2 linked regions of the Lepisosteus oculatus genome follow. Each later gene encodes a partner of the first gene's protein in a complex. Links are inferred from orthologs where the notes say so. Each region holds a gene or a part of one and is shown on either strand. Other genes may lie near its edges. The genes, in order: ahi1 and tmem237b.

What was found.
Region 2: ahi1 (region 1) and tmem237b share a complex: the UniProt entries of both Homo sapiens proteins name them as parts of the tectonic-like complex. The link is inferred for Lepisosteus oculatus from reciprocal best matches to the Homo sapiens genes AHI1 and TMEM237.

Annotation. Positions count from the first base shown.
Region 1 is NC_090697.1:50,191,231-50,203,172, reverse strand, and holds the start of ahi1 (jouberin), read left to right. Parts: upstream 1-6,752; 5' UTR 6,753-6,963; intron 6,964-11,942. UniProt on the Homo sapiens protein: Involved in vesicle trafficking and required for ciliogenesis, formation of primary non-motile cilium, and recruitment of RAB8A to the basal body of primary cilium.
Region 2 is NC_090707.1:34,916,324-34,928,068, forward strand, and holds the start of tmem237b (transmembrane protein 237B), read left to right. Parts: upstream 1-6,434; 5' UTR 6,435-6,845; coding exon 6,846-6,863; intron 6,864-11,044; exon of another isoform or gene 11,045-11,745. Other genes in the region: mpp4b (MAGUK p55 subfamily member 4), read left to right, coding at 456-629, 1,762-1,842, 3,072-3,165, 3,271-3,379, 3,687-3,821, 4,563-4,754. UniProt on the Homo sapiens protein: Component of the transition zone in primary cilia. Required for ciliogenesis.

The sequences.
Region 1 (11,942 bases):
CCTTCCATTTCTGTCACCTACTGTATCACAAACGATGCTTACACAGGACCTGTAGTATAGTAGATGACCCCTCCCACCCTTCCCATAAACTCTTTGCCCTCCTCAACACCCTTGAATCTACTTGCACCCACTCCAACTCCAGAAACAGGGTTTAAAACCCCCCAGTGTGTTGTGTATATTTTACTATGTATATGTCAGTGTCCTGTCTGTACTGTCTGTATTTACACTGTGGATCAGGAGGAACGATATTTCATTACACTGTATACTTGTATATGGCTGGAATGACAAATAAATGTGAACTTGAACTTGAACTAGAGATACCATAACCTTTTTCAAAATTGAAATATAAACATAAAATAATATTATTTAAGAAATCTAGGAGAAAAATTAACTTTACATATGTTCTATACAGGCAGCATGGTGATGCAGTGGTTAGCATTTCCACTCCAAAGACAAATTGGTAGGTTTGTGTCTTTGGCTTCTGTTGTTGGCTCACTGCTGTGAGTTTGTGTTTATGTCTGTGTGTGCCTTGTGATGGACTGGCATCCCTGAGCCTGTTGTTTGCTGGATAGATTCTGGCTCTTCTGCAACCCCTGAATTGGATTAAGCAGTTAGAAATAAAACATGAAAAAAACATCTGACAGAGTCTGACATGACACTCAGAAAGGGTAGGTAAGGTAATTTCATATGCTGTCAAATAATGAGCTGGCCCACTTTTATCACAAAAGCAGGCTATGTCTCACATGGGGCATTAGAAGTATCTTTTAATATGATTCAGCTTCAGTAGGATTTTAATCAGAGGGACTTTGGGGCTTTTGTAAAGAATACATAAAGCAATTTTTAGCACAATACACATTTTCCATCCAAAATTACACAATTTACTGTGTGCAGTTTCAAGCTTCCATCCAGAGAAAACTGTTACAGATTTGAACATTTAATGGAAAATCTGAAGATCTTTGTATCTTAAATTGAGAGATTTTAAGATTCCATTGACCTACTTGGTCCTAAAGCTAAACTGCCTATTTAGCATACAGAACCCTGTGAAGCCTAAGAGATCACACGATCGGCACATTGGGTTTAGAGGTTAAAATGAATCTACGCTGCTTCTGACACATACTGTAAGTGTTACACTCACATTACAATTTTAAGCGTCTGGTGATCTATACTGTTTCTGTCCCCAATCCTATTATGTCCCAGTGCTAGTAATAGGAGCTCCTCAACTTCTGAACCAATTATTTCCTTGTTATAAAGAATACCATATGGATACTGTTGATTCTGTGAAACTTCCAAACATTTTCTTAACCACTGCTTCCAGCTCAGGGTTGCAGGTCTCAGAGACTCACACCCAGCAAGCAACAGGCACAAGGCAGATAGACACACACACATGCACAAACTTACACCAGGTCTAAGTTTCCCAGAAACCAATTAACTTACCAGTATATTTTTGTACTGCAAGAGGAAACCCACATGAACACAGGGAGAACATACAAACTTCATGAAGACAGCACCCCAGGTCCAGAATTGAACCCAGGGACTCAGTGCTGCAAGCATATAATATCTTTGATATTACTTTGGAATTAAACTGAAATAAACTCAGGGAAAGCGAACGGGATCCAAGATGGGGTTTAACACCTTTGTGTCTTTGTTTTCCCTGCCCTTGACCTCATCAACTGATCTGGAAAACTAGTAGTCTCATCAACAGTCTTGCGAGCATCCAATACATTTTTTTGAGGGCATGAGCCTTTGGGACATTGAGATGATAAAATTTAAAAAATAAAAATAATTTCCATTGCAGGACATACTGTAGCTTTATGTGTTTTTTATTTCTCTACTTAACAGACATACAGTAGATGTGTAAAAATAGACAAGAAACAGATAGAAATGGAGCAGGAAGTGGGGCCTCACACTCTACTGGGCTGCTGACCCTCTGTGCACACTGCCAGTGTAGACTATAGTATTGACTACGAAGACCACAGAACAGGAGGAGCAGGCAGACATCAGATGAATGTAGAAAACATGTTAAAACGCAGCTAGTGTACAGGACCAAGTTTAGAGTTCCTGATGCCTGGCCTACAACTTTTTTTTTGCTGCTGGTCCCCTTGTATCTATACTGATGGAAAAAAGAAACACACCATTTTCTGGAACAAGAATACTATAGTTATACTGTAGCTTATGTACTTTCCCAAAAAGTTGTCAATTTGTTTTAAGCCCCCTGACCAGCAATACGGCTTGTGCAGTGAAGTATTGCAACTTGCCAATCACATGAAAGCTCGTTAGGTGCACTTTTACCCATTGAGGTCCAGGTGGAACAATGCCTGATCAGGTCACCTTTAAAAAGGCCTTAATTCAAAGCTTAGGTCACTGCAAGAGAAAGGCCACACTTAGGTCAGTAGTCAGTTTTCTATGCATTTCTATGCATTCCATAATGCCTCGAATGTCACCAGAAGCAAGGGAGAGGGCCATTGGCATGCTGCTGGTAGGCATGTCAAGGTTTCAGCAGACCAGCAGTACAGATAACCATCCAAGATTCGGTCACCCTAGAGTGACCTCACCAGAGCAGGACCGACACATCAGACTGGTCCATCTGAAACATCTGCCACCCATACTGCTGCTGAAATTTCCGGCAGAAACAAAGCCCACATCAGTGACAGGACAGTGAGGCTCCATGCTACTGACCTTAGAGCAAGGCGACCTGTCAGAGGCCCTCTGCTTACACCTCCTAGACGTTACAACCGACTGGCTTGGTCCAGACAGAGGCTGCGATGGACTCGTCAGCAGTGGCATCAGGTCCTTTTCATGGATGAGTCACTCTTCAGCCTGTTCCATTCAGACAGGAGGGCCAGAGTGTGGAGGAAGAGGTGCTGCATTTCTTTTTTCCATCAGTATATTTATCATATTTGTGTCTGTGTGCCATCTGAGCTGCCTGTGACTCCGTAAAAAACTGATTTCATGGATGCATCTTCAATAATTAATAAGAAGAGAATCTAATTTGTCAAAATAAAAATGTTCTATTTATTTTGTTTTTTTGGTCAGTGGAGAAGCAAGCAAAATGTGTAAAACTGAGCTGGTGGTGATAAGCTCATGAAATGCTACAAATGGGTGTGGACTTTAGTTATAGTCTGACAGACACACAGTACAGAATTAATATCTGAGTGAATATCTGCATCTTACACAAAATTAAATAAAGGATATGGCACATAGCTATCAAGCCATACTTGTAGAAGCTCATGATTCGCATTCACTACAAGTTTTTTTTCCCACAAGAACGTGATGGTTTAATCAAGGAATGCCTAAATCTGGAAGGCGTGACGTCAGCACATTACTCACAAAGTACAAAGGTTAAGCCCATGCTGTGATGCCTCCATTTTTTAGTTCTGTAGCATGGAAAACCCCCCACAAATAAATCTAAGAGAAATTCTGGTGAAGGACTTAAAGTGGGTCTAATGGAAAACACTTCCTTTGAAACACTATTAGATATAAATTTAACTGTTGCTTGTATATGAGTTGTGCACGTCATTTGCCCTGCCTCTACAAAGTAGAGCTAAAGGAAAATCAAGCAAGAAAATATTAATGAATGGGTCTTTATAATTCTACTTTATCCAAATGTTTTAAATATTCCACAACTGTCAGAACACTAATGATAATATATTAAAGGACTCAAACTTAAATATAATATTTTACAATATACTCTTATAAAGTTAGGGTCTCTGGAGCTCATGATTTTAAACATTGATTTTGCTTTCACACAGAACGCCCACAGCAACAACAACAAAAAAGAATTTAATGAAGAGATTGCATGTAACCTAGGAGATACAAAGATGTAGCATAAATGATATGATAAACTCAGCAAGTGACCCCAGCAGGAAGGAAGGAGTCCGCCTGATTTAGTGAACTGGCTGAAAACCGTGCCAATGGCAAAGTTAGCGCTAACCTTCTAGGTTTGGGGAAAGGGTGGAGGTAGATTTGTCTGCTACCTATTAATAACCTACTGCCAACATATATTTAAAGATGCATTTTTTTTATTTTCTGAAGAATCACAGTGGGTCCCTGGAAAAATGCTGTATATCAGTGTGTTAGCACGTACTGTGACACACTGTCAGATGAATTAACTGATAGATAATAAAATTAAGACACTCTGGTGACATACAGGACAATCTTAAAGAGAAGTCACGGTGCTTGGTGAAAGCTCTAAATGGTAACCCAAACCTAAAATGGAGCTGCTCACATACAGTCAAGTTCAATGAATGAAGTACATTTTCCTTTTACAAAAGTGAGCATACAGTAGATCATAATGAAATATAACAGCAATAAATGTATTATAATCAAGTACCGATCAAACGTTCATTAACAATATGTTGAATACTTAAGAAAAGTAATTTAGAAAAGGCATTAATATTTAACACGGATTTTTAATTTTGCATTAGTTAAAAAAAACTTCATCATTTTGAAAGGTTTCCTTTTCATAAAAAAGTGGTTTTGTAATTTAGGTTCTGTGATTCATCTCTCTGATTAATCTCTTAGGTTCTGTTTTGTGCAAATCCTCTAAAATGTTTCGCTTCATTGCTTTGCTAAAGATTTTGTAACCTGATTTGTAATAGAGAGTGTGAAATAGTAAAACGAGTAGTTTATAGATCACACGAAAGATAAATAAATCACATTTATTTCAAGTCACAGTACATGTGTTTTAAGAAGGCACAGGACAGTGGTTACAGAGAGAGTGTTATGGTAGGGGTTAGAGAGAGCGTTAGATTCTGGTAGCTGCTTACACCACAAGGGAATGTTTGAGACGAGTGAGTGGACAAGGCATGTAGGAGAGAAAGGAAAGGAAGCCAGCTGCTAAATATGAGAGGGTGAAAGTGGCAACAGATATGAAGCAGGAGAGGGATAGATTATATACAAAATGAGCAACAGAGTTTTCATTAAATATGGAAGAGGTGGTGCAGATCTCTAAAGTGTGGAGAGCATAAAACAAAACAGCTGAGGTAGCTCAGTCTACAAAATATATGGTTTTGGACCAAAAGTTTTATGGAGCAGATGGCTAAGAAAAGTATGGTAGAGGATTACCTGGTTTGAGTGGTTTCCTCCGGGTGCTGCAGTTTCCTCCCAGAATCCAAAGTGAGTGTGTGTGTGCATGTGTACTGTATGTCTGTGTTTTCTCAGTGTGTACCTTGGTGTTCTATTCCAGTGTATATCTCAGGGTATATCTGGGTTAGGCTCCAGCTCCCTTGTATTGGATAAAGTGGTCAGAAATAGATGGACAGAAAAATCAATAGTAAGCAAGGAAGACGATTATAGAATATATAATATGTCTGACTTGAAAAATATGACCTTGAAGTAGAGGAGTTATTCCATGAGGACATACTGTAACTGAAACACTGTTGCACAAATGCCAGAATTATGGAAGAGAAAGGAGAAAGGAATCTGAGCATTGTTAACAAAGAACAAAGAAGTGGTACCTGTGAAATAAGATTAGACAACCAAGAGACTAGGTGTGGAAGTAAATAAGGTGCCTGGGTGCTGATCCTTGCAGAATAACAGCTGTAGGTAAGCTAAATTAGAGGCAGTAGAATAACTAGAGAGCAGAAAAGATTACCATTCAAAATCACTGCAAAAAAAAAACAATGCAATTTCCAAAGGAGGAGGGAACCATAATACAGTGAAGTGTATCACAAACCACTCATGGAATTAGCACCTAGAGATGAAGAAATGCCTGGCTGATTTGGCCCTTTAAACTGATCCAAGAGACAAACTGAAACAGGTTTCCTGCCAAGTCATAGTTCTGGTTATTTTGTAAAACTAACTGTTTGGAATGAACCATGACCGAACATACATTCATCCCGTGTTATATAAGTAAATGTTTATGCAAAGGAGTTTACAGACAGAATTTCTCATAATCAGGTGGCAAATGCAGGAGCTATTTAGTTTGGTGGTATCTGATCTCCACCTGGTGGCAACAACACAATGCAGCACAACCATTACAGTGCATTGTGCGTACAGTAAATTTACACCAATGATGAAAGGTTTTTCAGTGAAAGTAAGAAAAACAATTAAGATTATGTTCAATAATTTGCAGATAATTAAATATGGTAACAATGATTGTATTTGAACGGTGCTTCTCATGCAGTACAGCACAAAACATCGTTTAAATAGATCAACGCATAAACATACTAAAACATTTCAAACATTATAATCATATTTTGAAATGTTAAGGCAGAAAATTGCTTATAGAGTAAATATCAATGTATTATTACACTAACCAATCACTCAGTCGAGGTTTGAAATATTAAGAAGGCATCGTGTGAAATTGAACGATATAATAATACTTTCAGTTTTAAGCAGTGTCCGGCTTGCACAATTTCAAATATGGACATCCTGTAAATTTAAGCTTAAGTTCAACTCACATTCACCCACCAATGTATGCAAATCACACACTTTAAATGTGATACATATGCCATTGTGCCTTAATAGCAAAACGTAAATTATTTGACAACGTTGCAATTACGTGTGCTTCGTGCAGCCTTTCTTGTTTGGTGTTTTTGCACTTTTAATATATACTCTGTCGAACTAATAAGAATTAAAAATGATGTTCATTCACATTGAAACATGACTACGACTGGAAGATTTAAAAAAGAGCGCACAACAGACCAGAGTCACAAACCCCAACTTTACTCTAGTCTCCTGTAATTTGTTGGTTTCTATGACCCCGCACGCACAGATTTGTTCCCTGCGCCACTGCACAAGACACCCTACCCTACTGTCTGCCGCAGGAGAGGACGCTTGATTCTGATTGGCGACGGCGTGCTGTGGCGTCACACGGACAGCGGCTCTCGCCAATGTTGTTGTTTGAGAAACCATCGTGACGGCTTGACTCCATTGATGCATTTGTCTGTCCTGGTGTGTTGATTCGTGTTTTAATACAGTAAACGACACACACAAAAGTCCGCAGAATAACAATGTACACAGGTACGTGTCTCGAGACTCAGCATGCATTTCAGTATTTAAAATATGAGTTCAGCTTGTTTTGATTGCGGGAGTAAAGTTTGCGGAGGATGCTGTTTTCTAATTATTTTTATGTAGCATCTTGATCGCGATTTCATGTTTGGGTTCTGTTTTCTCAATATGTCATTCGGCACTGTTGCTAAGGACTAGACGTGAGTCATGTTGTGGTGTCTGATACCAGTAGGGTTGTATAGAATTGACTGTTATCTCTCCATCATTCACCGAAACATCACCGTAAAGCTTAAGCTGATGTGATGTTGAGATTTAGAGAAGAGCGTTCAAGTTTCTGAAGTCGCTACATAGGTTTGATTCTTCAGTCAAGAATATATTCGCAAAAAGAAAAAATGTAGTACTCCTGAAATGTAAACTAAGCACTGGAGGAGTAGTTTACCTACTGTATATAACTGGAGGGTTGTGGGTTCGAATTTCGTGTGGGACACTGCTGTTGTCCCTTGAGCCAGATTGTTCCAGTAAAATGTACAGCTCTGTAGATGCAAGCTGCACACGCTGTGTGTGGGATAAATGACAAGATGCTATGATGCTATTGAAATTCAAGCCAAACAAATACATTTAAAACCACTGGTTTCACAGCTCATGACTAGAACTATACTTGGTGTTATTACAAGGTACATGAAGTCTGGAAGTAGTTCTACAGTTAATTTCCTCTGTAAACTAACCTTAAACATTTAATAATAATAATAATAATAATAATAATAATAATAATAATAATAATACACTTTATTTTATATAGCACCTTTAAAGGTGGCTTCTCAAAGCGCTTTACAGGATGACAATAACAATAAATAAGAAGACTACAACAATAAATAAGAAGATTTCACAAGATAGGACACAATTATAATTACAACAATACAACAATAACAATAGGGGGAGACCGTGGAAGGTATTACTAAGAAGAGCAGAGGGGTGAAGAATGGAACCAGTTAAGTAAAGGCTTTTCTGAAGAAGAAGGTTTTGAGTCTGGATTTGAAGAAGTTTAGAGAAGGTGGCTCTCTAATATCCTGGGGCAAAGAGTTCCAGAACTTGGGGGCATAGCAGGAGAAGGCCCTGTCGCCCATACAATGTAGACGGGCTTGGGGGACAATAAGGAGGGCAGAATTTGAAGAGCGGAGGTTGCGAGGTCGGGAGTAGGGCGATAAAAGTTCAGACAGGTATTGAGGTGCCAAGCCATGTAAAGCCTTATAGGTGAGCATGAGGATTTTAAAGTCTACGCGGAATTTGACCGGAAGCCAGTGCAAGGACTCCAGGATAGGAGTAATGTGAACACTTGCACTAGACCTGGTCAGGATTCTGGCTGCTGAATTTTGGACATACTGCAGCTTGTTCAGAGTAGATTTAGATACCCCCAGGGAGTAGAGCATTGCAGTAGTCAATTCGAGAGAATACAAATATGTTGATCATCTTTTCAGCCACAGTAAATGATAGCATAGGGCATAGTCTTGATGGGGGGTACCAATAAGCATGACTTCAGTCTTGTCACAGTTAAGATGAAGGAAGTTTTGAGTCATCCAAATTTTTATGTCAGAGATGCAATTAGATAGAATAGAGACAGCCACATCAGTGTCAGGTTTGGTATGGATGTATATTTGAGTATCGTCAGCGTAAAAATGAAAGCTGAGGCCATGTGATCTTAAAAGCTGACCAAGTGGGAACATGTAAATGCTGAAGAGCAAGGGGCCCAGTATTGAGCCCTGGGGGACACCAGACTTGCCAAGACCAATTTCAGACCTGTATTTAAGTTATTGAAAGATAAGCAGTGCTGAAGCAATGAAACAGACTCAAACTTTGCCTGGTTGTTATTCTCAAACATCCCCAAATAATGTTTTTGTAATGGAAATTTATGATGCACAATATTCTGAATGCTGACATTTCTGAGGCAATATGAAGACCAGAAGAATATTAAGATCTTATTGTTAGAATCTTATTTTTCAGTTACAATTACAACGATAGATTCACAGATAATAATTTCCAGTAGTCCTGGTTACATAAATTCTCATTAGATATTCTAATACTATTGAAAATTCATATCTGAAACCACTGTGTAGGGACTAGATAGTGTAGACATTGCAGCTATTTATACAGTAACTGTGACAGTTAAGGAGCTGAACAGAGTATTAGGTGCTCCATCTCTGGTGTTGGAGGACCACTTTGTAAGTCAGCAGCACCTGAAGAGCTGGGAGAAGTTGATGTATTGGTACAGTTAAGTCAGTAATGAGATGATTTAAGTGCTCAGTTTGAATGAAAACCTCTGTGCTGACATATATTGATATAACAGGAGCGGCATTGGACCACCTGCATTGCTGCATTGACAAGAACCTGTTGTGTTTCTGTAACAAAAAGAAGATAAACCTGTAATTCTGAAGAAATGAGGCAGAAAGCCTTTACTGTATTCAGTTTCCGAAAAGTAATTTTAGCTACATTTGATCATTAGGCATCTAAATGTAATATCAAATGTAGGTAAAAGTTTTTAAAAAACTGAATGTAGGGTTTTTTTCCTCTCTTTATGATTGAGATTACAGGGATATCTTATATTTCTTATATTTGTTACAATAGACACCCACTTATTTTGAGTCAGGGTAATAGTAGCTTGGAGTGACATCCTGGTTGCTCGGGGTACGAGGTGAGACTGCCTCTTCTGAGGGAAGAGATCTATTAATTTGCAATCAGAGAGCATTAGCACTTGCTACTCCTCTTGTAGGCCCTCTAGCCCTCTCCAGTACAGAGCAGCCAACAGGTCAGTGCCTGTTTTGTTTAGTAATAAGAGCTGATTAGTAATTAAAGAAGTGGGGAGCTGTTTCTCACAAAGGAATAGATCTGAAGTAGGCTGTGATACACCATTTTAACCGGAGGGCTATAAAATCCCCATTAACAGGATAAAATTAGTTCCTTCTGCGGTGTTGTAATCAGATTAAATGTATTAGTTAAAGGGATCTGGACAAAGCTGATTGAGATGAAAACTCTGACACAGAACTTGATGATGGGTTGCTATAAACCTGAAACAAAGCTGGAAATAAGATAAGATCACTTTATTGGACATATACAATTTCTTGCATTAGGAATTACTCTTTTTGCATACCCCAGCTTGCTCTCCATGAGACACACAGGCACACATTCGGCTAGAGAGAAGCTTGGAGTCAGAGTGCAGGGTCAGACATTTATACCGGCATCCCTGGAGCAGTTGGGGTTAAGGGCCTTGCTCAGGGGCCCAATGGAGTAGGATTTCCCTGTTGGCCACAGGATTTGAACTGGCAACCTTCCAGCCACAGGCGCAAATCCTTAGCCACATTGCCAGATCAAGACATTGCCTTTCACTGCTGCATTTGTCATTTGTGAGAGTCAGTGAGTTGAAAGTATGATAAAAGGCTAAAGAGATATCTTGCAAACCAAAAAATGTTCCCTTTTGTGTATGAAACCAAACTAATATTTACTATTGATTCATATGGGTTATATCAACCATTACAAAAGAAAATGCAGCATAGAACATGTGAGTTTTGTACTTGAAAGACTGACAATTAATGCCCTGTTAGTATTTACAACTATGACACTTTTGACTATTTCTGTTTTGGTGCATTCAGTCTAATTCATTTCCTGGAATTTATGCTGGATGTGGTTTTCTTTTTTACTCTTCTGTGTTACAGTTCAGTGAAGTTAAGGGCAGTGGCTGATGATGATAGCACATTGCAAAATGTTTTCAAAGGCAGAACTTTATTTAGTTCAATTTGTGTGTTTATTTTCTGTCATTGCAATGCTGAGAAATAAGTCCTCTCCCTTTTCCTGAGGGTATTGCATGACATTGTGGTGGGATTTCTTATGAGGTGAATGCTTTGACTTCTATTTATAAGGATCTGATGGCCCACTGGAGAGGTTGGTGGTCCATATGTCCTTTAATTGTACTTAACAAAAGAAGGATTATAGGCACAAATTTTGAAGATAAGGACAAATGTATTTTGTTCTTTTGTTTTCTTTTTTTTTTGAGGTACAGATATTAAGCAAACTTTTTAATGCATTTCAATGCATGACATGTAGGAAAAAACAATTAAGAACTATGAATATTTTATTTGTAAATGAATATACTGTATGTGATTAGAATGGGTATACATTTGTTGTGGTGATGTCTGGGAAATACTGATTATGATTTATATCACACTGTCCCCAAATTCGTTACATTTAGGGCTTGTGCAGGATTAGTGAATCTTTGAAACTGTCTGCTATAAATAAGGCAATTTTAATAAATGTAACAATAAAGGTAATAAAATATCCCCTATAGTAAGGAGTGATTTTGACTGTGGATTTGTGCTTTCTTTGTTCCTGGCAAAGGTTAATGGAGGAGTAATAAAATGAAGACAGTCCTAAAAGACAGACAAAAGTTTATTTACGAACTTGAAATGTTAAAAGTTTGAAAAGGTCTTGTAAATGTTGGTCAACAATGCAAAAGATGTAAAGCAATTTTTACAAGTTATAAAATGGCTACAATTTTTTTCCTATTGAGACAGAATCATTCATTCATAAAAGAAAAGCAGTTGTAATCACAGGTCTTGAATAAAAAAGTTGAAACTGGAGAAATTATGTATTTGGAAACAAAGGTCATCTGTTAAATAGAAACTGTAGTCCCAATTTCTCAGACTGGTGATTAAATCTCGGTAACAAAATAAATTCATTGATGGTATAGAAGAATTTAACAAATGTCAAATTAAGCAAGAAATTGTGAACTTTGTGAAAGTACTGTAAGTCGCCATGTTGTTGCAAATCCCTGGTATCGCCATGGTCGAGAGTGAGGGTTCGTGAGAATTGTAACGTGACGCGGCCCTTCCTGCTCACTAGTCACTGTAATGACTACTGCAATGCGATATACAAGCGAATAAGTACAGGTTGTGCGGCAGATACGGTATTTCACTGCAGAAATGTTCCAACGTGACCTGCATGCA
Region 2 (11,745 bases), on another chromosome or scaffold:
ATTTACAGTTTATGCATCACTGTTCAGTCTGCCCCAGTATTAGTGTCCAGTTTGAGACATTTAAAAAATGCAGTCCAGTTTAAGAAAAAGACTGAACACCAGAGCCGTGTTAAGGGGATGGCTCAGTGTTTTTGGCAGGTGCTCCTGTTTCCTCACACAGTCCAAAGGCATGCTGGTAGGCAAATTGGCTTCTGGGAAAATTGGCCCTGGTGTGAGTGTCTGTGTTTGTTCTACTGTATGATAGACTGGCATCCTGTCCAGAGTGTATCCATGTTCCTTGCCATTGTTGACCAGGATAGGGGTTACCCATAACCCTGAATTAGATAAAGCACTTAGAAAAAAGAATGAATAGATGGAAGGCTTTCCATGGGTCTTGCTCCGCTGTTAAAGCTATGACCGTGCGTGCGTTTTGTTTGACCGGCCTCTCTGTCTTCGGCCTTGTTTGTGGTCTTCAGCTGGGTTCCGCAGAAGCTTGCGCCTGTGCAGGAGAAAATCTCGCAGCAGCCACCAGCAATCCTGCTACGCTCGCTGCCCAAGCAGCTGCTACAGTGCCCTGGCCTCACCCTACGAGGAGGTAGTGAGATACCAGCGCCACCCTGAGGACAGACACCGCCTCATTGTCCTCATCGGTGAGCTACTACACCACTAGTGCACACTCCTGGTAATAAAAGTGTAAAACCTCTGAAAGGCCTTAGATAAGTGTACTTACGTACTATATAATCCAATTCTGTAAACCTGAATTTCATAAAATAACTAGCCACGCACATTGGTGTCCATATTACTGTATATTGCTGGTTCATTTTTCACTAACATAACTTCCCACTATATGGGTGTATATTAGGTGTCAGGAGCAATATAACTCAGTATAACTCAAGACAAATGGCAGCTTCAGGAGAGTTAGCTGTGAATTTAATGGATATATATCTCTAAGACAGATCCTTTGCAGTCACAGATGCCAGTGCCATGTGTTTCTCTATATAAATACACCGCCCACAAGCCTGCTGATGATGAATTTCCTCTTCAATCAAACTGTAGAATGTACGTCTTGTAAGCTGGAGGTTGTAAAATCAAGCTCCAGCTTGTACACGACATAGTCTCGACTCTCAGAAATGCTTCAGACCCCCCTGGATTTTATTCCGACCAAATCATTAATTATCTAACCTAAAACCTTACGCAGAACCTTAATGCGTACGAGGAACTCCGATCAGCAGAAAACACACGATCCCTACCAGTGAACAGAGATCATCAATCACAGTTACATATTCTTAAAAGTCAAAGGTAGAGCTGATCACACACCAAGGAATCAAGAAGTTCAGTAAGTACATTTTAGAGATACATTCTCAAAACTCTGGACTTGAGTAATAACATTGCAGTAACATGGCCTTGAACATTGTGCAGCACCCAGACAGACACTTATTCATGAGGACTTGAATACCGTATGTTCAGTATATTTTGATCTGTTGAAGGAACACTGCACATCTGTGCTCTTACTGGGAGCTGCAGGGCTCCATATTAATTTAATTAGGCCAATTTAAACTTTTCCCCAGGGCTTAAAGCTGGAGAAAGAAGGATTTCTGCACAAATGTGTAGTGCAGGTGCTCTCCTGGTGTTCCACAACTCTAGCAAAATTCGTGTTTTCAGAACACCCCTTATGCTAACGTTCAGTGTTTCCTGTGCCAAAATGAGTTCTCCCTAATACTCTGCTTGTGTTCCCCGATAAAGTAAGACATATATCCGGATCTTTGTGCTTTATTTTCTCAGGTCCCTCTGGAGTCGGGGTGAATGAGCTGCGGAGGCGTCTGATTGAAATTAACCCCAAGATCTTTCAGGGGGCCATTCCACGTACGTGCTCTGTTTACATGTGGTTTGGGCGTTCTTCAACATTAAGGAACATTGCTGGTGATCTAGGGGTCTTGCAATGCTAAGCCTAATCTGAAAAGCTTTAACTGACATTTAGATTGCTCTCAATCCTTAACACCTTTGTGCTTTGTTTGAAAGATTGCTCCTAACCCTGCTTTAATTCAATGTGCAACAATTGTGAATTTGAATCATATTCAGAAATTGGGAAAAATAGTGTTTATCTCAGTGTTTGCCCCAAGCGCAACATTTAGCCCAACATCAACTATTGAGTTTCATCCTCCCTAAACAATAAAGCTCCATGTAACAAATACATCACTTAACAATTAACAAGAAAGACTTACTTGCCACATTCAAACATTTCCTCATTTGTTAAAAGAGAAAAGTTTAAGGGCTTATCAGAAAAAAGGTTTTATATATTTTCAAGGTCTTGACTCCTGAAATAAGTTTTCAGATGATCTGCACAGAATTTAAGTACAGGAGAAAATAAAGTAAGCTGTTTTGTTTGTCAAAGTGCTAACTGTGCAAAAGACCATCACCACAGCAACTGCAGCTGTTTAAAACAGTTGATCTGTTATTTATTGAGTTTTGTAACACAATATATTTTCATTTATCAAAAAAGCTAAAACCTAATTTTTGGTGGCTCATCTGATTTTATTTGATGTGTCACCAGACTGAAAATACATTTTGTTAAAGTGTGTGGCAGTCATTTTCTTCTTAGAATACAAAACTGCCCAATTAGTTTAATTCTGTATTGAGCATATTGACTTACAGTGACATAAATTCACTGCTCGCTGTGAACCGATTTATATCAACCACATATTTTGGGTTGGCATTGATACTAACTTATAAGGAATCCAAAGCTTTTGTAGAAGTGTTCTTTTCCTTTATTTTTCAATTTGAGATTGGTGCCTGTATAATAAAAAATCATATTATTGTGATGAAATACAAGGGATTCTTATTGTTTTGTAACATAACCTAGCAGCTTATCTTGGGAGAGTAACGCAGTTTGGTCATTTAAAGACTGCTCAGCAGGCAAGTATAAATCTGTTCAAGGATTATTAATTCCAAAAATTTTTAAAAACAATTGCTTTTAGCCTGAGTAATGGCTTATCAGTAGTGTAACCTTTTTAATGTTGTATTGGGCCAGAGCCGTTGTAGGTTTTGGTGTGTTTAATTATTGCTGTTGTCTAATGGGTAAATTTCTTAAACAGACACAACCCGACCCCCAAAGAGCTATGAGGAGAATGGGAGAGAGTATCACTTTGTAACCAAGGAGTTGTTTGAGAACATGATTCACAGTAACAGGTACTATTTGTTTCAGTAACACTTCAGTACAGGTACAGTACACAGTTTCTTGTGTAGTTTCAATAATTGAAATACAGTAACTGTTTTGCTCTCTGTGTTTGAAAGGTTCCTTGAATATGGGGAATATAAGGGCCATTTATATGGCACAAGCATTGACTCTGTCAAGGAAGTTCTGGAGAATGGAAAAATTTGCATAATTGACCTAGAGCCACAAGTAAGAATTTCTTACTACTTCTTCAACATGTTGTGATGTGAACTTCATACACAATTTGACCTGATGTGACACTTAAGTAAACAAATCAATCGTTCAAGCGTAATCTTGCTGACTGGAATTGTACAACAGAATGACGTTGTGTTGGGGAAAAAATTACAGAAAAAATTATGCTGGAATTCTGGAATTCTTTTAGGTGTTCTGCAGCTCCTGCAGGCCTTGATTCATAGCAAACAACTTTAAACTTTATCACAATATTTGTGAAAAGCTAAAAACAACAACCATTAATTGTAGTAAATCTGTTTTACAGGGCATTCAAGGTGTGAGGACACATGAACTCAAAGCATATATCATATTTATTAAGCCATCCAGCATAATTCGCATGAAACAGACAAGGAAGAGTGCCCGTATCATCACAGATTATTACGTAAACCGGCCTTTTAAAGTAAGTTTTCATTTTCAAAATGTATTTTTCTTGTTCTTTGGGAAAATACTTGAAGGACAGATTTGTCAGCCTTTAGGAATCTTCTTTGTTCCTTTTCACTTGTTGAATGTGTTTCTGTACTAATCAGTATAGAATCAATTAATAAGCGTATTTATAGCGTTGCTGCATCAAAATACTGTATTTTTATTACAAACTATAGTATACTCTCCCGTAATGGTAGAAGTGCAGACTGAAGTTTGGAACAAATGTTTCTTTTGCTATATAGTACTGACATTTTGGTGACAATGTACAGTATACAGGGGAAAACTCTATTCTGGTATTCAGTGCACCACACAGACTGCTTCCTTTGGAGTGATGCTGAGTGGCTATTCCAGAGAGGGCCACTATGAAGAGCAAAGCATAAGTGATATACAGGTTATACATGGCTCAAACGCAGACTGTATCATTAGTCAACAGTGACTGGGTTTTTTCCAAGTGGTGGTGCACAATGTTTTCACAGCTTGGTGTATAACAACAATCCCTGTGAGTTAGTGGACAGAGGTGAGCTTGTTGACTCCTCCAATCACTTCTCTGCTGTTTGTAATGCTTTTAAAGTTGGGTTGCAGAGCTCTGTACTTGAGCAACAGAGAATTGAAAATCCTACTGAACGGAGAGAAAGGGGCTTTATAATTCCATTGTTATTTTAAAATATGAAAAAGATGGTGCTGGCGGACGGTGCTAAAATGGTGCTCTGCTTCACAGGAGGAGGATTTCCAGGAAATGGAGGAAATGGCGAAGAAGGTGGAGGCCCAGTACTGCCAGTTTTTTGACCACGTGATCGTAAACGACAGCTTGCAGGACTCCTGTGTCCAGCTGTTAACCGCTGTGAGGCGGGCACAGGACGAGCCGCAGTGGGTTCCAGCTCTGTGGCTCAGGCCTGCAGAAGAGTCCTGATAGAGGAGAGGGGAAAAAGGGACAAACCACACCAAAACACAGGGGTAAACCTCATCCTAGCCCAGAGACTGACTGAAACTGTGAGCTTCACTAACAGTATCTAAAGCATAACCTCAGTGCTAGAACGATGCAGTGTGCTCAAAGTTGTTTCAACGTTTTTATCAAGTTGAAGGACTTTTTAATGACCCATACATAAAAATCCTAAATGCTGGCAGTATAACAGCAAGGTTACTGTTAGAGGTCTCCTTGCAATATGGAGAATTTAGGGGCCAAAATACTTATTTTTCCTGTATTTACAGTATCCTTGAGAACTCTGGGAATCCTTTATTTTCCCTGTGAAATGACTCCAGTATGATATCACCTTTAGAATTGTTGAAGGAGTTTTACTGTATATCAACCATAATTCCTGTCCTTGTCCTTGTCCATGTCCTTAAATTAGACAGAATTCTTCTTGCTTTAGTTCCTGAGTGATGTTTTGTTTTTCAATTATTTAATCTAATTTATATTACAATATAGCCGGATTTAATGGTTTGTGGCAGTCTAGATTCCTACAGGAGGTCGCCATAGTGTGTGTTAATGGGAAACGCCTGGCTTTAGAAAGGCACAGAGATTGTGAGATTTTACAACAGGATATTTATACGATGTACCAAGAACAGCCCAATAACTTGTGTTTTCGTTATCCTTTAAAATGTACTTATTGACCATGATATTTGATTTGAATATCACTGTTCAATTACATAAATCTGGGTTTCTACAACTTTTAATGCTGTCCTTTATGCCATAAGGTTATGTCGTAGTATCTGTGATGAAAATTTAATTTACTAATTTTGGAACACCTGCCTGTGTACTCAGGTAATACAGACGGTTATAAGTTAACCTTCTCAGCACAGGCTAGTCATAATGACTGTTAGATCTTTGCAATTTTTATGTATACCAAGATAATTGTGGATTTTATTGTACACCTTTGTATTTTCTTTAAGTGTATGGTTTAATAATTTATTTCTAAATGTAAGAAGAGAGTAATGTTTTAAGTGGTTCTGAAATTGTTTAATCATCAGTTTTTCAATAGTTCTAAAAACAAATCAGGGGGATTTCATTGCATCACAGACCGCTCCAACATACAGTATAAGCCGAATTACTGATTTGTGAATTCATTTGTATCTAACCTTAAAATTGTGATCTGAAATATAAACTCTTCTAGTTTATTCATCACCTCAATATGGAATTTATAAAACAATCTATAAATTCTTTTTATAGAATAAATGACTTTGACTTTGAATAATCTACATATATTTGAGTGTTTTCTTGTTTTACTGTATGTACCACCATTTTTATTTAAAAACACCAAAGTTAATTACAGAACCTGTGGTACCACAGTGTGATTTACTGTAATTTGAATCTTTAAGTTTTCTGAGAATCCAAAATACAATGTTAGCCGTTTTTTTTTTAAAAAAAGATTTCTGTTGTCTAAACATTTTTATTCGTTTCTTTTTTAAGTAGGTTCTGCTGTTTTTGTGCAATATTGGTAACAAAGAGTGTTATATGAAATATTTTAATAATATTATTAAATGCTGAATTGATTGATATTTAAGCTGTACGTTTTGTGGTTGGACTGAACATTGTCTACTCTGCTCCATTTAATGTCATTAATGCGGATTAACGTGTCGTCATTCGAACCGAAATCTTCATACAACTTGATCCCTCTCGCCATTTTTAGAATACAAATTCATTATTCATTATTAACAGGTCCCCTAAATGAGAAATCCAGACATTTTCAGGAGGTAAAAAGATTTAATGAAGTATCAAAATCCTAACGTTGGGTGTTTGTCACTACAATCAGAGCTTCCCAGGTGCGTCCATCTATCCAAGAAGATACGGGATGATGGAAATTGCGCTTGTATTACAAGAAATAATGTAGCCGTGATTTAACCCGGAAGTAGACATGATTGACCTCCCACTGGCTCGTCGCTCTAGCAACAACGGTGTACAACAGCATGGAATTTGGTGTTCTGATTGGCAGTTTTGTTGTTATTCTTCTTTTTGTACAGTAGTTTTCTATCTTCAGAAGCTTGTTGTATTGACTTTTTAAAAATGGATGAAATTCCACGGGTAAGTGGTTTGAAATAAAATCGATCGAATATGAATGTTGAAAAAGGTGTAGTTGCAAAAGTTTAACGAGAAGCCACCTCACTTTTGTTGATTAAGATGGGTGATTATTTAAAATGTCTTTCGTGTTCATAGATTGTATTTTCAGTCTTGAAGGCCGAAAATTTTGTAAAAGTAATACTGGCTGAACCGTTTGTATTTAGTTTAGCCAGTATATACACACTAATGTCGATTAAAGTAAAATATATATTTTAAGCAATGAAGTGTCATTCTTTAATTAGAAAAAAAACATTCCCTTTAGTTTCAAATACTAGTACCAGTCGTTTTCATTAAGTATACATATTTCACGATATTATATACAGGAAGAGTTTCAAAAATGTTTGGTGCCCTAATATTTTTAAAGCTGGTTTGAAATCTATCTTCTATCCTTTTAACGGTATTGTCCATCTCGGCAGTAATAGCTGTTTTTGCATTAACTAGTACTCGCCTTGAATGAACACGGCGACAACAAGAACTTGCACTGTTGTCCTTTAAAGAAATGAAAATTGTATAAGAACTATGACGTTTATTTCAGTATTCTCTGTAATATGTAATAGCCCATACACGAACGCACATCATGAATGCGACATTCAAGATAAGTGAAATATTTATTGGGTTTAAAATATCAAAGCAAATGTGAACAAACATATAAATGCAGATTTGTCTAAGATGGTATCCAGAAAAATGTCTTTGCTCTTTGCCTGTTATTCCTTCCTTGTGAGCCCTGCTTTGCACTACAGTCCCAGCTACACAGCTGCTGGCTTTGATCCAGCCCGGATCTTGATCCTTAAGTAAACTAATAAGTCGTTTGTTTGGACTGAACTCTACAACACTGTAACGGTTGTTGCGTCCTCTGTACGTTTTGTTAGGAAGGATAAGGATTTGTTTTACCTGGATTTAAATCTGGCTTCCAAAAGAAGGATACATCGCACAAGGAGACGACTCCCTTACAAGGCCGGTGTTAGATTTGCTCCTGTATGTTGCCAGCAGAGGGCGCTGTCGCCACAACCACCTGGTAAATTTCTTTCAACCAAAATGTGGTCATATGCTAGCACGCCTGTCTGCACTTATCTGTGCAGTTCTTGGATCGTTTCTTTTTCAGGAAGGGATTTTTACTTCATCCATCTAGTAAACGCATGTAAGCCCTTAAGAGTGATTACCAATGAGAGGAGTTTATTTGGCCCTTCTCCATATCCCCAGGGATACTTTCGACAGCGTGGCTGGTTAGTATTTGGCAGACTCCTACAACTCTTTGTGTAAAGATGTGCATCCCTGATTTCCACCCTAGCTTTACTGTTGATCCTGAGGCAGTTCTCTCTGAAGAAAAATGCTGTGCTCATTTAGTCTGTGTGAGCATTACACTGTGAAGTATACATTTTGGAGGATTTTAAGTCCCTGGTCTAGGGACTGATTAAACCCTACAGCTTTATTTTGTTTCAAAAAGGGGAAAGCAAGCTAGAGCCCAGATAGTGGAGGTCTGCAATTTAAAGGTGCCCTCTAATCAAAGGCTTTATGCCATGAACTCAGAATGGGATCCTGTGAGAGAGATTTGTAGCAGTATTGTTTTTTCAGGTCTTTTTTGGGTTCACTTATGGCCCTGGGGTCCTGTCTGTGTGGAGTTTGTATGTTCTCCCTGTGCTCTCGCAGGTTTCCTCTGACTGCTCCAGTTTTGTCCCACAATCCAAAGACATGGTGGTAGGTTAACTGACTTTTGAAAATTGGCCCTTATGTGAATGGTGAGTTTGCACATGTTCGTATTTGTCTGTGTGTGTCCTGCAATGGACTGGTGTCCCATCCAGGATGTAGCCTGCCTTGTGCCTGTTGCTTACCAAGATAGACTGCTGCTCCCCTACAACCCTGAAGTGAATGAAGTAGTTAGAGGATGGGTGGATATTGACCCTAATGAGCTGATTATTTCTTTAAAGTATTTTTTTCCTTTTTAGTTTAAAAGGAAAAACATGAGGCCTTTGAATGTTATTTTTCAAACTAAAGCAGGGACGCTAGCTGAAGATCGTCTCCGCACCTACCAAGGTCAAGTGCTAGCATACAAAATTTGCAGAATAATTCAGAAAACAATGTGAAAAGAGAAGATGGAAAAAACAGGAAAATGCCAGTTAAATATAAGATTGCTATTAGTTTTACACAATATCCTTATTCAAGCTTTTAACCACACTGGATTTATTAAATGAATAATTTTCCAGATTGAAGAATTTGTCTCTGTACTTTTACGCTGTGACAATCAATTCTAATGAAATGATTATATCACATTCTAAGTAATGGCACAAACTAGCTAGGAGGCAGATGCTAAAAACAGCAAAACAGCAGGAGGGGCCTCTTTCACATTAAATACAAGTAATTAATGAAAGGATGGTGTGGAATGGAGCGAACCTTACAAAGACTGTAAAACCTGTTCTTAACACAGAATAGCCAATCGAATTCAGGATTTAAAAGTAATTTTATAATGGAGTGATTTCCTTTAGAATCTTGTTTAATGACCGCATGTGTGCTTTTGCCAATAATACTGCCTGATGCGATGGAGGAGCTGGTGAACTCTTTTAACACCTGTTGGCTGTTGTCCAGCTTATTTCCTCTTGCTTTCCCTTTCTTATTCATTACTGTTTAAATTTAACTGAAGAAAAAACAATACAGGTCAGCAGTTCTGTAAGTCCCTCTGAGAAAATCAGTGCGCTGATGTGCATTTTGATATAAATTCACTTTTTTATATAAAATGCGTCCTCGGACAATTTTCTTTTTAAGAAGTATACAAAAGCAGTTATAAACCATACCTCTCAATGTCGATGTAGAACCCCAAATATGTTGTATATCTGTGCTGACTAGGCTATCTGTTTGAATAGTTTGTAAAATGGGGAAGTTAAGCCTTATCTACTGTGAAATACCATCTTTTGCAAACTGCTAGACCGCTTACAGAGTAACTTGGACATCCGCTGCAAATATACAGCTTTCTTAGAAAAATGAGAAAATCAAATAGCTGTTTTATGCTAGAAAGGTGACTGCTATTGCATAACTGTGAAGAGTTGGTTACCCCTAATGTTTTTGTACACCACTTGTTTGGCTTCTGACCTTTATCAATAACAAATATGTTCCCGTTTTTCCTCACAAACGTTTGCTGCTCGTAAAGATAACCAGCCTTTTAATCTGAGGTTCACTACACATGGATGTAAGTAAAATGTGCTTCAGCTTTTAAAACTTAAAACCTGCTATGATGTGTTAATATTTGTAAATTAAATGTCGCCAACCCAGACTCAAATTGCGTTTCTCTCCCACTAACTGTAATGATTACAAGTCAGTTTTGATTGTAGAATAATCCAGAAAATAATCAGCTGCTTATTCAGTAGTTTATCTCTTCACTCAGGCAAGCTCCCCTTTGAAGCAGGCATCAAAGTTGGCTTAAAACAACACATTTCAAAACAACACATTTTGGTTGTTTAGCCCAAAGGTAACAAGCATTGAAAATGCATGCGTGCATAATTTTCACTTTCATGGGAGGTGAAATTGTTCTTTGCTCACTAAATTAAATACAGCATTACCACCATCTTGGTCTCATCTAACCTCACAGACACAGACACTCAGACCCAGAACCAATTTTCCCAGATTCTGTTTAATCCACCAGTAGGCTTTTGGACTGAGGGAGAAAACTGGAGCTCCTGGTGGAAACCCACATGAACATGGGATCACATATAAACCCCATTCAGAAAGCACCCCAGGAATTGCAGGGACGCAGTGCTACGAGGCAGCAGTGCTAACCACTGAAGTGCCACTTTACTGGAGAGCAGCTCATGTAAATTTCAGGCAACCAGAAATCAAAATATCCAGTGCCATCTCCAAAAAGTCTTTGAACATGAGGCATTTTAGAATTGTATTTTTGTCTCGGTGCAATTCAAACTTTTGAAGTTGCTCCCACATATCTTCCTATTGCAGAAGCTTGCACAAGTATTTAAAGACTGAAAAAGTTCTATTTAATCCTACCAGTACTCCCTCTTCCATATTAAAAAAAAACGCTTGCAGATTCTATGTAGTGGGAAGATGGTAGACAATCTTAGAGCAATGCAAAACCTTTGGCTGTAGCTGTACTTTATCCTTCCTTATTTTGTGTTAGTAAGCTCTTTTCATCATATGCTTACCCCAATAAGCTAACTTTTTATAATGCTAAACAGTGATTTTTGTTTTTGCATAAGATTTGATCATTTTAGTTTTTGAATTTCTGCATTTTATTTTTCATGGCTAGTAACTCTTTCTTTTGGTTTCTGAAATTACCCTATATGTAATAACCTTGCTGTTCTTGTACTGGATAAAATGCATAATATTTCCTTAGGAGATAGTCCTTTCCATGGCAGACATAGAATAAATGAAATTGACATTCTCACAATCTCGCTATTTACATGAAATTTATCATTTGCAAAAATAATATGGTTCATACAGAAAGCTAACAAAATGAAAGATAAGGCCGTCGCTGGTTGGAAGAAAAACACCAGTGCAGTGCTAAGCAAAATGTAACGGCATGCAGACACTGTAGGCATTATACAAAGTAGGCAGCCTGTAGTATCTGTAGCGAACACTGCAAGCTTGAGAGTGAAGGACACAGAAAAGAAGGAATTTTTCCCATCTTTATATAGCTCCTTTTTGAGGCATTTGATTTAGCTGTTATTCCCCAGTGTGCGGGCCCCTATGTTACCCCTAACCCTGAGATTAGGTGTAGCTTCAGTTTTTGTAATGGCTAGGATCTTGCAAAGATGTTGCGATTTCCAGGACCTGTTCCCAAAATGTAGATTCTGTTCAGATTGTTATTCCTCAAGTCCTGCTAGTTCTTTTGTCATTGGCCTTTCCT